Linked DNA regions of Xenopus tropicalis. The protein of the gene in region 1 purifies or fractionates together with the protein of each later gene. This does not show direct contact. Links are inferred from orthologs where the notes say so. Each region holds a gene or a part of one and is shown in the gene's direction. Other genes may lie near its edges. The genes, in order: bag5 and dnajb4.

What was found.
Region 2: the proteins of bag5 (region 1) and dnajb4 purify together in Homo sapiens (affinity purification with mass spectrometry; 4 studies listed by BioGRID and IntAct, with this or other methods). This does not show direct contact. The link is inferred for Xenopus tropicalis from reciprocal best matches to the Homo sapiens genes BAG5 and DNAJB4.

The regions. Positions count from the first base shown.
Region 1 is NC_030684.2:98,469,344-98,472,575, reverse strand, and holds bag5 (BAG family molecular chaperone regulator 5), read left to right. Parts: upstream 1-938; 5' UTR 939-972; coding exon 973-2,325; 3' UTR 2,326-2,627; downstream 2,628-3,232. UniProt on the Homo sapiens protein: Co-chaperone for HSP/HSP70 proteins. It functions as a nucleotide-exchange factor promoting the release of ADP from HSP70, thereby activating HSP70-mediated protein refolding.
Region 2 is NC_030680.2:80,147,833-80,151,766, reverse strand, and holds the start of dnajb4 (dnaJ homolog subfamily B member 4), read left to right. Parts: upstream 1-1,169; 5' UTR 1,170-1,416; coding exon 1,417-1,627; intron 1,628-3,934. UniProt on the Homo sapiens protein: Probable chaperone. Stimulates ATP hydrolysis and the folding of unfolded proteins mediated by HSPA1A/B (in vitro).

The DNA.
Region 1 (3,232 bases):
GTGTGGTTTGAAGTAGGTGTGGTTCAAAAAAAGGGGAGTGGCCAAAACTGGCTTCCATTAGCGGCCCTCCACCGTGTATGCTAAAGAAATTCCGGCCCTCGGCACCGCAGAAGTTGGACAGCACTGGTATAAACTTTGACTAACTAGCATTATCTTCCCTTTATGTTTCACACCAGATTCACTGGTGTGCTGTGTGCACTGGCCTCAAAATTTGTGTGAGCATGGAAAAGTGTAAGAGGGCATCATGGCCAGTACTTTCTGCTAAACGGGATTCAGTTTTCTACTTAATTTAGCTACATAGTTTCATACTTAAGTTCTATGCAGGAATTTTTGGAGATAGAGGAGGAGAAAGAAAAGTATAACTAGAACATTATTTTATTAAAAACAGTTTAAGAAAAATCCTTCCAGTTTTTAAGTGAAGTGCGTGGGGCATAGGTTTCAATTATATATATATATATATATATATATATATAGCATGTTGCAAGAAGACAGGCACTCACGTATAAGTAGGTCCAAGGGAGCCTGGGTGCAGTCCCAAAATAATAGATGGAGTAGCTGTAGAGAGAGTCCGCACTCACAGGTCTTAAGAAAATATAGAAGTTTTATTCAAATCAACATTATTCAAATCAGTATATATATATATATATATATATATATATATATATATATATACAGTATATATACATGGATGAAGAGATGGTTGTAAGCTCTTTTGGGCAGGGCCCTCTTCACCTCTTGTATCGGTTATTGATTGCTTTATATGTTACTCTGTATGTCCAATGTATGTAACCCACTTATTGTACAGCGCTGCGGAATATGTTGGCGCTTTATAAATAAATGTAATGTAATGTAATGGTTAGACAATACCTGTTTTTTGTTTAAATAAACATGTCTTAGGAATGGCATCTTTACCTTTTTGTTTTTGGTTTTTTTTTTAGCACCAGTATCTTCTAAGAAATTGCTGTATTGAGTATGGATATGGGTAATCAACATGCTTCAGTCACAGCTCTTCAAGAAATACAGAAGAAGGTCAAAGAGATTGAACAACAAGTGGTGACATTTAGTGGTCTAAAGAGTGACCCAACTTATAAAAAGCTTGAAAAAGATTTAACTAAACAGTTATTTGAAATAGAATCTATTGAGACAGAGGGAAAAGGAAACATTCTACAAGCCCAAAAGAAAGCTACTGAAGAGACAGAAAGAGTTTTAAAGGAACTGGAGCAGAATGCAACCCATCCTTGCAGACTTGAGATCGAAAAGATCTTTAGTGAAACTCAGAGTTTGGTAGCGCTACATACTACACAATTTAGTGGGGAAGGTCAGAGAACAGATGAATTTGAGGAAGGAATTCAGAATATTTTGAAAAGACTTACTCAAGTAAAAACCGAGGGAAAGATCCCTCTAAGAAAAGCTAGGTACCGAACTTTAACTAAAGTTCTTGCCATTCAAGAAATTTTAGAAAGCTCTTCTAAACAACAAGTACTTTCTCTCCCTCTCTCTGCTGAGGCACATCCAACAGTTTCTAAAATTAACTCAATTATGTGTGATGTGAACAAAGCCAGATGCAGTCTCATAGCTCTTCTAGCTGGCGTCAATGACAATGAAACATACAGGCATTTATCTTGCACTCTTACTGGATTAATTGCAAACCTGGATGCTCTGGATGTTTCTGGCCACACAGACATAAGAGAGTATCGCAAAGAAGTTGTTAAGGAAATCAACAGTTTGCTGAAATATTTGGATTTAGAGGATGAAGCTGAGTTGGGAAGTGCTTATGACTTGGGCCAAAACCAGTCAATTGTAAAAATAGAAGAGATTCGCAAAGAAGCAGCAAAAATAAAGAACAGTCTTTTAGAAGTGCAGCAGCATATGTCTGACATCTATATGGGTACAAAGTCAGAGCTGCAGGGCCTCATAGCTAGCTTGGATGAAGTTAGTGTAGGGAGGAATCCTTGCATTCGTGAAGCTAGAAGACGAGCTGTAGTTGAGGTCCAAACTGTCATCACCTACATTGATCTAAAAGAAGCTCTCGAAAAGCGCCAGAGTTTACCAGAACACACAGTCTCAGAGCCTCCATGTTATATAGCTGTATGGACTGTCTTTGGACATTTATCTGAACTTCAAAAGGAAGTCCTCTTCTTTGATGGGAAGAGAGCTGATAAAAATTATATGAGATTAGAAGAATTTATTACTAAACAATTGCTGGCTCTTGATGCCATTGATTCACAGGATGGCCGTACAAAGGCTGCAAGAAAACAAGCTGTGAAGCTTGCAAATAATATCCTTGGATATCTTGATATGAAAACTGATGAATGGGAATACTAAAAAAAACACTGCTTTCGCTTTGCTTGCACTTTAAATATGGCTGTAAAGATGTCTCAGTTTCATCCTTGCATTATCATTGCAAGATAGGGTTTTTACTAAGCCAATTATCTGTCATAAAACAAAGCTTCAGTCAAAAGCTAGCCAGTTTTTGTTTTCATGTACCAATGGCGAAAAATTATAGAATGTTTAATGCTAAATATCCCAGTTTGACTTTATCAAGTGGAACAATAAGTGGCATATTTCTAGTTGTATCTCTCTTCTCATTTTTGTGCTGATTCTTAAATAAAAGTTCTGTCTTTTTTGATGGGGGTACAACATTGTCATTGTTATGTACACAAGTGAATAGTATGTACATTTTTAATTATATTGTTCAGTGTAAAAAGGCTGCTGCGTTTAAGGTATCTAATTACAAAATAGACATTGCAGCACATGCAGAATTAAAAGATGTAGTTCAGCTTGATTTCTGTTAATTCCTATGGGATTTTTAGAAGTGTGTTTATCAAATGATGAACTCTAACTTTTACCCAGTAATAAACAGAAATTAAGGGTGAATGTGGGTTTTCATGTATTAAGCTCTAAACTCATTTTTTAATAAATCAGCACCATTGTGTCATTATATATTTAGAGAATGTGCTTCACAAACCAAAATGTGCATCTCGTAATTCTGTACAGACAGCGAAAACATTCTTAAAGCATAGCACATGCTATTCAAAATGGGCAAAAAATTCAAATTGAATAAGGTTTTTTTTTAAAAAAAGATATACAAAAATTCACATTTTATCGCATTAAATCTTGCACAAGCTCTTGGCCAAAAAAATTAAAAGAATACAACATTAATTTCAAATATGATAATACAGGTATGGGATCTATTATCTAGAAACCTGTTATCCAGAAAGCTCCAAATTAT
Region 2 (3,934 bases), on another chromosome or scaffold:
GGGAATTTACTTTGGCTGTTGGCTTGTGGACATGCTCAGTTGTTCTAAACTCAGATTACTAAACACCCCCCCCAGTCTAGCAGCCAGTGAAGAGATGACACTGCTGGTTCCCATAGAAACTCAGCTCTAGCTGTCTGCTTCAGTTTTTTTCTCCTGAGCTCAGCTTTACCATTACAGTAGTCAAACAAAGCAGAACTTTTATCAGAGACAGTTCTGCCTGCGTGAGTCTGTATTCTTGATGAAATGTATGCTAAATATGGGTCTCTGTGTGTGTATGCTGTTTGCAGATTAAAATATATCTGATTAAGTATCAGGAAAAATGGCCACCAGGTGAAAGCTGCTATTTGCTTTAGGAAAATGTGATGGTGCTGGCAAACGGAGGGGATATATGCAGTACAAATGATGCCATTTGGGTGGGGGAGACGTGCCCAACTGATATATATTACTGATATATATTGTAGGCAAATGTAGGCTTTTCATGTCCTTTAAGATTGTACTTATACTAACTAAACTGTATAAGCTAGTGCAAACTAATTGCAGATGAAAGTAAAATTAAATATATTTCTTTTAAAACTGGAAAAAATATTGCCAGCCAGGTCACTGTTTCCTTTCTGAAAAATGAATGTTATTACCTTTCATTATGGCAGGCATGCTAGAAATGCATTCAGGATAAAATAACTCTCCCACAAAACAAAAGAACATTTGAAATCTGAAATACTCATTATAAACTGTATATAGGTATGGGGTCCATTATTCGGAAGCTTGTTATCCAGAAAGCTCCAAATTACAGGAAAGCCATTTCCAATAGGCTCAATTTTAAGCCAATAACTCAAAATTTTAAAACATTTTTTCATTTTTTTCTGTGAAATAACCTCATTCAGAGCTGTCTGAATAACATATTTCCGGATAACTGATCCCATACATGTACAAGTATTTCACTCTTATTTCTTTCAATTCCAAAGAAACACTATGTCCTATAAGGACAAGCAAGTGTGGAACTATTTAGCTGTTTAAAGCTTTAAAAGCCTGATACACTTTGCATGACACATTATTTACAGTTTTCCTGTTAATAATGTTTATAAGATTGTCATGGGTTAAGCATGTATTTGCTGTTGCTTCAAGAATAAAGCTTTGGCTTGTTTAAAAAAAAAAAAAAAAAAACTTCTAGAAAGAGCTAGTGGATTCTACAGGCAGCATAGACGTAACTGGGAGGCAGAGAGCTGATTTTTCTCTATATATGAGCAGTAGGGGAAGGAATCCTATCCCAGTAAAATCCAGTACTCTGGGACAAACTCTAATCAGATCAGACACTGGGGATTTCACCTTTAAATCAACCCATACATTTTAAGAACCATTCCAGGCAGAATAATCGTTTAATTAAACTATATTTTAGATCTAATTTATCTGACAAAAAAAATGGGAAAGGATTATTATTCAGTTTTAGGGATTGAAAAAGGAGCTTCGGAAGATGACATCAAGAAAGCTTATAGAAAACAGGCTCTTAAATGGCATCCAGACAAGAACAAATCTGCTCATGCAGAGGAGAAGTTTAAAGAGATCGCTGAAGCCTATGAGGTGCTAAGTGACCCTAAGAAGAGAGAGGTGTACGATCAATTTGGAGAGGAGGGTAAGTATTTTATGGTTATCCTTAAAAATAAGGCAATGCAGAATATTTATTATTATTTATTCTTCTCCCCCTCTATGTAGAGTGAAATCCAGTTTGTTAACCCTTTAAATAGTTGAGAGGAATATGATTTGTTTTTATGATCTAGCAAAGCAATGCTGTTGACAATAGGGCGATATTTGCTAATTGGGGGTTACACTGCATGAAACTTGTGTATTTGTCTATCAATATGATAGAATTACATTTTATGTAACGTACTACAAGTGTAGATTTATAAAGGTTATTTCTGAAGCATAACATGCACACACTGATATGTTTGCCATTATGTTTTATATAAGCTATAATACAGACATCTGTTTTTAATCTAGTATTGCACAACATTGTGATGCATGGTAACATGCATATAACCACACTTAAAGACACAAAATACCTGTCTGGTCGTATAAATGTTTATACGAAAAACCTGTACTGTGCTCATGTGCTGTCAATGTTTATTTGTGTGGACAGCACAGATAAAAAAAAAACTTTTGTTCTGATTGGGGGCAATGGTGAATGATCATTTTGGTACCATACATTGTGTAGAAGATCTGTCTGTAACTGGCTTCTTGCCCAGAAACCTAGGAATTTACATGATGTCATTAAATACCAGAACCATTTCTTTATGCTAATTTTATGTAGAGACTTAATGCCAAGTAAAAGTCTAAGAAAATGTCCAAATAAGTTAGAAAGAAGCAAAATCTTTTTTTGAGAATAGTGATGTATCATGGTACATTTAATGGCAATTTAAGTAGCTCTAAATATGTGTTAAGCACAAATGCCCAATGCTTCTACTGAGAGCTAGGTTTGCCTTATGGGCCAAATTCAAGAAGGGACCCATTGTGGCTTTCCAATGTGATACCATGCTAGTATTACTATTTATACTATTACCTCATAGATATTTGCATCCATTAATTTTAACCCACAATTTAAAAAGCCTACAACCCATCAAAATTACCTTAGGTACAGACAGAGTTGATAGCAGGGCTGCCATCAGGAATCACTAAGTTTGCAGGGCTTGCTTCCCGGGGGGGCTCCAATTATTATATATTATTAAAATACTTAGTCCTATTTCAAAGTATGCTGTTTGCCTGGGAAGGATTTTGTTTCTGAGAGGGCACTTCCAGGTAAAGGACTAGCAATGCTATAAAGCCAAAATATACTGTATATATATTTTCATTTAAAAATTGTTAATTTAAAAATCTGTTAATCCAGCACCTACAGATACACAATTTCTCCTCAGCAAATTGTCTTTCTGTAGTTCTGTAGAGCTATAAATGGCATTTTAACCATGTATCTTCCAGTGTAAGAACTAACCAATGTAATGAACACAGCTGTGTTACATCATGTGTGTAAACATGTGCCCAATAGCCCTAAATGCAGCTTGAATCAGTGCACAGCAGCAAAAGGTCTTACAACAACCAGATTCACTTGTTTGGCAAACTCTGGGCCAAATTGGCACCTTAAATCTGGCCATGTACGGCCACCAGTTATATAAACTGTAGTACTGCTTTTCAAGCAAATGCAATGTTTTTAAAAGTTCAGGGTAACAGTGATATTATTTAAATGCAAAAGAAAATTTTTGGTCTTAGCTCTAATTTAATGTCTAACATTCTCAGCAAATATGAAGCATAAAGACTGTAGGAGTCATTTATGAAGGCTGGGTGCAAAGTGCAGAAAACTGGTACAATCTGCCATTTTTTTCCCCTTTGGACCTTGTCTTCCAGATGATGGAGATCTATGGCCATTACCCTGAATACATTGCAGGAGGGGGCTTGTGCCCCTTAGGGCTCTTGTACTTCTGTTGCAAGAAATTGTGGCACTCTTTTGTGAAATATTGCAGGGGCTGCATTGACAGAGAATGAGATAATGCATATAGCTAGGAATTTCTCACCTGCATCATTCAGCAGTAAACTGAGCTGGTCAAGTAATGAGTAGTTTATTGGCGTAAACCCCAAAATAGTGTCAGGGGCGTGGGCCTCCAGAGAACTAAATCTGGGTGATTTTTTTCACCATGTCCATGGCATGTCCAACCACTTTATTCTTTATTCTTTTTTTAGTTTTTGCGGACTTTGATTTTTGTATTTATTAGGATACTGGAAGTATCACCATTTGCAGTTTACATGATTGGCTGTGCTTACAATATTAACCTCACTGTTGAAATACCAAAAAATGTTAAATCACAGTACAAGCCAAAGCCAGAAAAGTATTTTGTTTATGTTAAAACATGAGGATTTTTTTTTTGCAAATGGGATTTTTGGAGGGTCCCCTTCA